Drosophila melanogaster: one gene and its partner. The protein of the gene in region 1 interacts with the protein of each later gene in a pairwise test. Each region holds a gene or a part of one and is shown on either strand. Other genes may lie near its edges.

The links.
Region 2: the proteins of Vmat (region 1) and CG10570 interact in a two-hybrid assay, tested with the Drosophila melanogaster proteins (one large-scale study listed by BioGRID).

Annotation. Positions count from the first base shown.
Region 1 is NT_033778.4:13,526,833-13,532,131, forward strand, and holds the start of Vmat (vesicular monoamine transporter), read right to left. Parts: upstream 3,044-5,299; 5' UTR 2,679-3,043; intron 1,555-2,678; 5' UTR 1,534-1,554; coding exon 1,056-1,533; intron 1-1,055.
Region 2 is NT_033779.5:18,808,158-18,813,154, forward strand, and holds CG10570 (uncharacterized protein), read right to left. Parts: upstream 2,830-4,997; 5' UTR 2,715-2,829; coding exon of another isoform or gene 2,662-2,714; intron 2,528-2,661; coding exon of another isoform or gene 2,428-2,527; 5' UTR 2,326-2,427; coding exon 2,104-2,325; 3' UTR 537-2,103; downstream 1-536. Other genes in the region: CG42502 (uncharacterized protein), read right to left, coding at 2,428-2,527, 2,662-2,714; CG42305 (uncharacterized protein), read left to right, coding at 4,943-4,986.

The DNA of each region.
Region 1 (5,299 bases):
ACAAGTTGCTCGAGTGGTTCGGCTATTTCCTCTTGGTTTTTCGCCCAACTTGTTGATTTAAATTCATGAACGTTTGGCACAAAGAAAAATCTCGCCCCACTTTTTTTTCGGGTTATTTGTTTTTTTTTTTGATTCCTTCGCCCTGCTGTATTTGTCAGGCTGGAGGACCGGAGGATTCCCACTCAATGTCCATGTGTTTGGCCAGACACTTGACACAAGCACTTGGTGCTGGACACATCCACCACTGACTGGCCCCCATCCACTTCCGCTGAGTTTTCCCCTGGTGGGGTTTTAGTGTCAACTGCAGGAGGGTCTTCGCCTCCAGTGCGTGTCCATTTAATTGACTGTCGACGGCTCGGCACTTGGAGCTGCCCAACTCAGCCTGCTCCATTGGCCATCGTATTGGCATCTGATAATGACTAAGCAGGGGCACTTCAGCATTGATTAGTTGCTGGCTGGTATTTGATTTAATTGCACATCTTCCCACATAAATTAAGGGTGCACTAAGCTCTTTCTGAAATATCAGAGCAACTACTGCAGATAATACTTATCCTATGTCAGAATGAATGCCTTACGCTTTGCTAATTAATTAAGCTTGTGGGAAGTATTATACTTAATTCGATATAAGATATATATAATATAAAGTTTAAGTATTGCTCTCTAAACGATATATTGCTTGTACTCAAGGGATATGCTTTCTTTCAAATACGGAATACTATTTTCAATGAAGTTCTAGCATAGAATCTAAGAATCCTGATAAAATCTCAGCACTCAGTATCCCTGGGATTGATGAACTGACAACCACCATTCGCATTGACAGGAAGGCGTTCATTAGCTTAAGTGCCGCTCAGTGGTAATTTTATGCCACCACTTGCGCCATTCCCCAAGGAAATGGACAATTTCCAGGCGATTGACTGGCAAGGATAACCAGCTCCCGGTAGATAAATGCTCATGAAATGCTAATGGCCAGCAGGGAATAAGATTTATGCGTCGTAATATATGTATGGTATCTATCTTAAGGTATCCCCATCAGGTATAAGTGTAGTTAAACTCACCCACTGTGGTCAGCAGCATGTTGTCGAGGAGCAGGGCTATGGCCACGATGACGAGCACCAGGCGATTGGATCCCCGCCAGCTGACCATCCAGGATTTGGCGGCGGCCCAGGACCCGGCAGCGCGTGGATCCTCCTCGCGGTACTGATCCGCTGGCGGCGGAGCCTGTCGTCCTGCGTAGGTCTGCGACTGGTAGGTGGGCGGCGGCGGTACCGGTGGCTCCTTGCCGACGCCCATGATGCCGCAATCCGGCTCCATATTGCCATTCTGTTGATTGCTGTCCAACTGCTGCTTGAAGGGATTTTTGCTGGGCGTATTGCTGGCGGGTCCGCCGGGAATCTGTTGCTGCTGGCTGTTGGTGGTGGTGTTTGCGTTTACGGTGAAGGAGGTGGTCTCGCTAATCTCCGACTGCTTCTGGGGGGCTGTGCTCTGCGTGTGTTTTCTTGGTCCACCATTGCCCGCATCGGTCGATGATTGCATTGCGTCGCTAGCCGCTGGTTGCTACGAATGGCAAGGCAGTAAGCCGATTGTCTTTTTAAAATGTAATCAAATCAAGAGTAAGCAGCTTTCCCATACCAATTCCCATTCCCAATCGCATTTCCATGCCCATTCCCCTTCCAAATCAAATCCAAAAGTCGCACGCTCGCTTTATGCCCCAATGATTTTCGCTAATTAAAAGTAAATTACAAGTCTTGGGGCTGGCAATTAAGAAGCGTATCTTTCACACGGCAACACGACTCTAATTGAATCATACGCAATTTAAATATTTATTTAATTGCCTGCCACCCCGGAGCACTACCAGCAAACACACGGGGCGTATGCGCAACATTTGTAATTTTGACATTTTCTGTTGCCTATCGCCAGGCGCAAATTCAATTTGCCAGCATAATTCGCTCGCAAAGTCTCACAAAAGGGAGTCGAAAAAGAGAGGCAGAGTTCTTTAAGTTTTCGGTTGTAAAATTGAATTAACCCACTGCTTTTAGCAAAAAAAAGAAAAGGTCTCGTAATTGAAGGCGTAGATGAATCAAGTCTTCCGCCAATAGTCTTTGCATAATGCCTTCTCAATTTACTTTGCAATTGATCAAGTTTACAATTGATGCCTGTCCCGTCGTACAATTGATTGTTTATGACGTCTTCGTATTGATAAAGTGTTGACATTGAATGACAAATGAAAATTATCTGACAAATAGACGAGGAAGCTGCTGAAAGTTCATACAACTGCAACACGTTTGGGGGCGTGACAAACAAACGGCAGCAAATTTTGTCATTTCAATTGATTAAATCAACTAGAATTGGCTGCCTAAATACAAAGCTGTTGCGTTAGTTATAGTATTGTACAAGGGAAATCTGGCATCGTTTTAATTAGCCCGTATATTTGTCCATTAATCTCTGTTTTAATTGCGCTACTGTTGTTTATGGGAAGATTTTTTAATGGCTAACAAATGGGATAACTTTTTATAACAAGGGATAAGTTGTATTCATATAAATAAACAAATATCGGCTCTGTTTTCTAGGATATATAGTATTCTATTCTTTCTCATCCCTTTGCCAAAATGCACTTTCAATTTAATGTGCATTCTTTAGAAGAAATTATATGATGTTAGATATGAAGTTCAATCATTTACCTGGCAGCTTTTCCTGATTTAATAGATCTGGAGATTAATGCTCCACAAACTGAACTCTCGCCCCTAGAATATCACGTGCACTAATGAACCTGAATCTGCTTTAACGACCGATATTTATATGGCTTTTGGCTAATCACTGAAAGCCGCCAGAAATGCGCACTGAAATCCCAATTAGCCGATGACTCTGTTGATCAAAATCAAAATCACAAGTTAAGGCTGTGTGTTTTGCATTTGGGAAGTGCTGATGTTTGTCTGGATTGCACTTTCTTTTTCACAATTGGTTCACTTTGGAATCTTTTTCGGGGTGGATCGTTCATTCCGCGGATTCCAATTCTACCGACAAGTCGGCGCTCTGAACTCAAACTAAAAACTTTAGCGTGCCGCCGGCGGTTTATTAAACGAATTAATTTTGAGCAAGCGAAAAAGATTCGCTTAGTTTTTTTTTCTATACAAAAAGTGCTGGAAGCGTAGTAAATGCATGGGTCTTTGCATTTCAAATGAATGCACAATGAAAAGTGTGTAAAATACATTTTAATAATTATTAATTAACAATTGGCATGCGATTTTGGTTTATGGGCGTGGGAAAATTCGATTCAAACAAAAGATACTGTTTTTTTTTTTTTAGATTTCAAATTATGCTAATTCATTGGATTTTCAAGTTTGACTTTCAGAGCCTGAAAGTTGAACTTTTTCATTTCGATTTGATTCAAATCGAACTTGATTCAATTGCTAAAACAATTCTTGAGTACATATCGCGTGTATGTTTTTATTCCATACCAGAATAATGCATGTAAACCAGGAGAATTTATTGCAATTTTTTTAATTCAAAGTTTTAATACTCTTTCAAAAGCTGAAGTACCAGTATACCATTCAAATTTTCAATAATTCAAGTTTTAGAAATACAATTTTTTTGAAATTTGTGTGAAGTTCCATATATATTATCTTTAGAATAGAGAATATAACATAGAATTCCTGCATTGAATTAAATTGAGCTGCATGTGCGATGCGATGTGACGAATGCGATTGTTTAATTCTTTATTTATGTTCCCTCAGATATTTATTTTGATTACTGTTTGTCGTTGCTTTTTTGTTTAATTGTTGTTGCTGCTGCAGCTTGTGCTAATTGCCCAAGATTTTTCAAATGGCGACGTTGGTTTAAAATGTAGTGGCTTGCTGCCTCTTCTGAGCATCGGCACGCAACTTTATTTAAATTGTGCCCATTTTTCAGTTGTGTATTAATTAAAACGTAGCTCATGCCTGCGCTTAGTCAGTGGATTTGAGCTTGACATTGAGGCAGATGGAAGAGACCTCGGTTTATGGAAGGCCATAAACTGGTTTTCCCGTATAATCAACCAGGAATTGGCAGCCCTTCAAGTCGGCTTTTTATCCAACATTTAATTGCTGTACAAATTTGCACCGACGCCCGAAGGTGCAGCTGATTATACTTTTTTTTTCCACCAACTAGCTATAAATTGCAATTTTAATTGGAAAACGGTAGCGAGATACATAAATATATAGCTGGGGCGTGTAAATGAGGCCCCTTTTAAGCTAATTAGCACAAATCTATTGAAGCAAAAAAGATCGAAACGTGCCAATAGTAGGCTTCAATTGAAAACTTTACAAAAGTACCATTTAAAAACAATTCTTTGTAATTTGAGCTTAAATTGCAAGATTTTTTAAGCTCTGGAATATGTACATATTTTGTTTATAAAATTAAAATCAATATCTTGATATGCGAGTTGGAACTTCTGCATCTTAAAAAATTGAATGCATCCCTCTTTCATTCACAATTTAGGAAACTGTTACAATATTTTAGAAATATAATGTTCTTTAGGTTCTTCATGCGTTTTTCAAAATCTTTTCTATATAAACACCACTTTCCCACTTTTGCATTTTAACTTACCTGAGTAATTTCTTATAAGCGACTCGTTTAGCTTTCTTTGGGGGAAATTCTGCGGAAAAATGGTTTCGTTGGGCGAATGGGTTGGGTTTTTGTGTCTGTGGTCTGCTAAATGCCAATGAGTCTATTGCAAATTGCCAGTTGATGAAGTCAGGTAGTTGTTGTAGCCGGATTTTTTTCGGGTGAGGTTGTGCGTTGTTGGAGTATTCCTGTGGGAGAATCGACAAAGGAAAAAAAGAAACGAAGTCATTTAAATAAAGACGCTTAAAGCGGATTTGCAATGTCTCCGGTGGCCCAGAGACTTCTGCTGGCGGTGGCCACTTGTGGATTCAGTGTTTTGTGATGCCACTCAAGAGGTTTTCCTTTGAGGGGAGTGTTTGTTCTTCGCTGGGCTGGCGGCAAGGTCGTTGGCCAACAAAAGACAAGCAAAAGTGGGCATTATAAGAGATCTTAAATAATAATACATTAAAATGTTGAGAACCTTATGCAACGATATATACTATAACTGTACATTAAACAAAATAATGTTAGGAGTAACCACCGAGTGCTGAAAGCAAATACGATTGAATATATTTGCGGATTTATTATTCAATACCCAAATATGCCACAGTCAAATGAGATTGCGGCTATTTGCGGAGAGGGCACATAAAGTAAGGTAAATACTATTTACATCTATATTTGTTAATACTTTTATTTGTCTTCTTTTTTTCTGTGCACCAAC
Region 2 (4,997 bases), on another chromosome or scaffold:
AAAACATCTGTCGGATGTCATCGGAAGTTGTATCTGACGGCACGCCCCAAAACAAATTTGCCTGGCAGTTTGAAACTCACAAATTTCGGAGGCGTTGGCAGCGACTCAGTTGAAGTGTGGGCATGGCCGCCCTCTTCCACTTTTTCAACGCAAGCTGCTCGGGAATATTTCACGGCACTTGGGGCGTGTATGGTGTGCCTCGGCAGAAGTTACGGATATTATTCATAATTTCCCAACGTGCCATTGTGACATATGCCATTAGAGGAAGGAATTAGGGGTCTGTCGTGCTGGGTTGTCTCTAAGCGGAAATCACTTTTCAGTTGATAAAGCCAAAGATTTGATAAGGCCAACACGCGCGGGTTGTTAGAAATTCAAAAGAGAAGAAATTGCGATAAATATTTGTCCAGTATAACATTCGTGAAAAATGTATTCAACATTGTACTGATTTTGTATATAAAGAGTCTGCGTAGAAGATAAAAACCTATATGAAAAATTTATATTACAACGTATTTAGACCATGTACTCCACGAGTACCAATTACTAAAACAAAAATCACAGCACCCACAATTTTTGTGGGTTTTCGTTGATAATGACGTGATAATTGCTTCTGTCTGATAAATCAGAGAGCGTTGTCCCGTTTCGGAAGCCTTGCAACTGACACATTCCACACCAGTGAGCAAACTCGGGCTGAGACACAGTTTATATTCGTAGCAAAGTTCAAAGGACACCTGCGGAGCGGTTTTAATTGCATCGCACAACACCAAAAGTGACAAGGAATCTTTTGGGTGCTGAGGACCGCCTGGCGCTAGGAAACAAAGTAATTACAAGGCCCAGTACAGACAGAAGCCCAAGCAGATGGGTTGAGTCGGAGGCAAAGGGAGTGGCAGGACTCGACTAGATGAGTTTCACTTAGAAAAATCATGGTGTGTGAATTTATATTGAATGATATAGAAATGCATATCCATATTTTTACTTATATACTTAAAATTGATAATAGCAGTTCAAAATCGAAATGATTTGAAATAAGTTGTAAATCGTGTTCTTAACTTTTCTCCGTGTAAAGGACATTGACAGCTGGCTCCCGGAAAGGAAAACCCGAAAACGCCACAACATTTATTCTTTGACGCCGGGATGGGACTGGCGGAGAGTGCGAGAATTCTATTAGCACCGTCAAGGAAATCGCTTTTTCTAATAGCCAAGTGCCACGTGTCCTGCGAAGCTTGAGTCCCCTGCTCAGTCGTGTGTCACGACCGAAGGACAACCGCAGCATCCTTCTCACTCCCGCTGCAAAATAAATGCTTCCCAGCCCGGCAAACAATACAATTGAAAAATTATAAAAATTTCGCACTTTCCAGAAATATACAGTCGAACGAATTCTCGTAGCGAAAACCGGACGTCGTCCTCTTGCGGCTGCACTGGGAGATACACTTGTTGTCGGCAAAGGACACGCGTCACAGATGGAAAGAGCGGGGGAAATCGAAAGGAAAAGGGGATGGCCAGACATCATCAATATTGCAGGAATCGCTCGGCAGATTGAGGCTGTCAAATAAGCGTGTCTAATGCGTATTAAGTGCTCTCCGTCCGGATTCATCGAGGGTTGTCCGTATGGCCCAATAGAGAAGTTGGCTTAATCACGCTAATAGCCGCAATTCATGCAAATGCTGCAGACAATAAAATATGCGTTGGGTATCAGTCAAGTCAATTCGAGTCAAACAGCAAGGTCAAATGGCAATGAATATTGTTAGGTGATTGCATTTGGGGTTGGCTCTCAAATGGTAAATGAATGAAATAACATTCTGGGCTTTAAGTTTAAAGGTTGAGTTAGAAATTATGATTCCCGAGATACTTTCTCACCACCATTAAAAATCTCATTTTTTTGGCGCATCTTCTTCTGATTTAATTTTTTAGCCAATTGATTGATTAATGATTTCTTTTCTTTTATCACATAGCAATGAATAAGTCTATAAAATGGCTTACAAAACTAACCTAAAGCGGCCCTGCTGAACCAAATAGAAATAACAACGTTATCAGCCCCCAGCTTCCCCGTTTCTCAAGGATCACCACATTCCTAGAGGAACATTTCAATGGGATCTACTAAAGCATTTAGGAGAAATGCATCCCATTGAATTGCTGGCGATCGGTTTTCACCATGTTGTTGTACTTCCACTTGTCAGCACTCGATGCTTGACTGCTCCAAGATCCCGATCCTGATCCCGAACCCGATCCAGAGCCGCTGCTCGACTTGGAGTGGTTCTGACCCTTCGTGGACTGGTTGTCCTTTGTGGTGCTGCTCAGGCACTTGTCGGTACGTTCGGTGTAGACCATTTTGTCTCTAGATCTAGATAGCTTCCTTCTTTTTGAATAGGTACAATTTTCTGCCGATTACACAAAGCTGCGCTTCCAATGCGTTTGTAGAGAAGTCAAAGTTCACGGTACAGTTTGCAACAGGGTGAGTACTTTAAGTTCCTTGTTGTTGGCCGAGTTTCCAGTACGTGATCCTTTTTTCGATGACAGATGTTTGCCCAATCTATTCAAATTAAATAAGCAAGGATTTGTATTAGTAACAATTCATATAAATTTTTTTTTTTTAACTGGACATTGCAAATGCTTTCACAATTATGTACAATAATTTTAACTGGCTCTGTCTGGTTTTTTACCCACCTTGCTTGCTTCAACAATTTTTGTTTGGAATCCGTGTGGCTAATTTTTGGCATTGACACAAAACTTTTGCAAATTGCACATTGGATGGAAAAGAAAGGAAATTTCACAGCTCACGCTCCGTTCAGCTCGTTACCGATCTGCTCTGCTCTGGACTTTCTACTGACCCTCCAGCGGCTTCCACAACTGGTTTAAATACGCCGAACCAATCCGTTCCGTTCCGATGCGATACGATCTCCGGCGATCCGAGTGCAATGTCTGGCGGAGCAACTGCGTCACCGTTCTACCAGCAAGTAGCGTCAATGTCGCTGTGCCAGCTGCACCATATCCAAGCCGCCAGAAACCGCCCTCGCACCGCCCCCGCACCACTCCCTCCCCCCGTTGACCTCAAACTCGGTCTCCGTCTGAGGCTAACCCGTTCCAGCGGACGACAATGCAAATTAGAGCTCTAGAGCAACTGGTTTAATCCGCGAAAACGAAACGAAACCTTTGCAAGCAACTCCAGCGGCCAGCAACGAATCGACTACAAGATACCATTTAAAACAATAGAGACACATGGTACAAGTATTGTTTAATTATATATTACTATATAGAGATTTTCTGAATATTATTAGGTTTAACAAAATGCTTGAAATCAACTGTTATTTGCTATGTACTATTAATAATCGTGTTAAAGTTTTGCACAAGTAATAGTACTTTTTGTCATTCAAACCTTTTCATTAGGTTTAAGCAATATAATAATTTTTGTGAAACTTCAAACGCTTTTCCAAGCGAAGCCTCTCTTATAAGCGGTATTACCAGGGTATAAAACACCCCCAGTAAAACCTGCTATGTATCACGTAGTATTTTCCTTTGTCTCCTCTCAACAAACATGATTATTAAGACTCGAAAAATGTTTAGAGTTGCCGGCCGGCGGTTTTTTGACACGTCATCCAAAATTCCGCAAATAGGACCTTTGCTATGGTATGTAGTCTCTAAAATTCTGATATTCCGTAGCACGGCGATGCATTCGAGTATCTGCCTATATATGCATCTATAATGATTAACAATATCATCCGATCACTATTGATATTACGAATTATGCATGAACCGATGGCTGATGAAAAGTCTTGGTTGCATTGCATCAGCCAATTTGATGAAGAAAACAACTCGAAAGCCTGTTGCCGGTTAATAGTATTTTAATCTGTTGTTTGTTGATATATAGAGATTCGATCTGAATTATGCTCATATCCAGACAATAGATATTGTATGGAATCTCAAATCTAAAAATGTTTTATTTTTAATCTCTTAGATTGCCTGATAATATAGAAATACCTTGTACAAAAAATCCTAAGGATTCCCCCGTTAGTGAAAATAATTATGCATCATTTGAATTCTTCAGAAACTAGTTATACTTGCAAGTATTATTTTGTAGATTCCGGATAATATTTAAATGTAAATATCCCACAAAAACAGTTTCATAGGTTTAATGACATCCAGGACCCCCCAAGCTTCTACGCTCTTCTCCTAGCGGTAATTCCAAAAAGAAACCCGTTAGAAGAATTCTAAAGCAGCAAATCGGATATTGTACTTTGAACGTCTAATTCGCCGTTTTAAATGTCAAAATCTGCATTTGACTTGAATAATATATAGCCAGATATGTCTGCCAAATATTTTGTTCAGACTGCATTATGCAAATGCGCCAGACACACAGTTCAATAATTAAAAAACGTGCCCAGACACTGGACAAAGAAAATAAAAAAGGTTGTATTTTTTTAAGAGTGCCGGAGCTCAAAAATGCGTTTTCAAAAATCTATATAAAGACAGGAGTGCTGAATACCTTAACACTATACGAGATATCGTCAAGTCAAGAAGAATGCTCAACAGATCCTTGGGAAACCACCTGAAACATTATGGATCCAGAAAATTCCCCTTACTAATTTGTTTACTTATACCTTTGTTTGGTGTTTGGGTTTGTTTATTCTATTAGAGATGTTTACTGTCAAATGGAGGCCCGCGTGGCAAACTTGATTTCCATTGACGTACCACTCGTTGGCGTAAACAAGAAATTTGGCACAAGTCTACTGTCTGCTCCTCCGATTTTGCATCAGAGCCCCCAAAAACTAGTTTATCTCGATCACGCTCCCCACTCGTGATGATATCACTAAGTCCGCAACGCTTTCTGATATAAAAGCCCCTCTATCGGTTCGAAAGCCAACACACTAAAGTTCGAAGGCCTAGCAGTCGATACCTAATCAGTGATTTTCAAAAATATTTTCCCCAAAGTGCATAAACAAATGTGTCAATGAAGACACCGGACACCAAAGCCAAGTTGCTGAATAATATAAGGTGAGAATGCA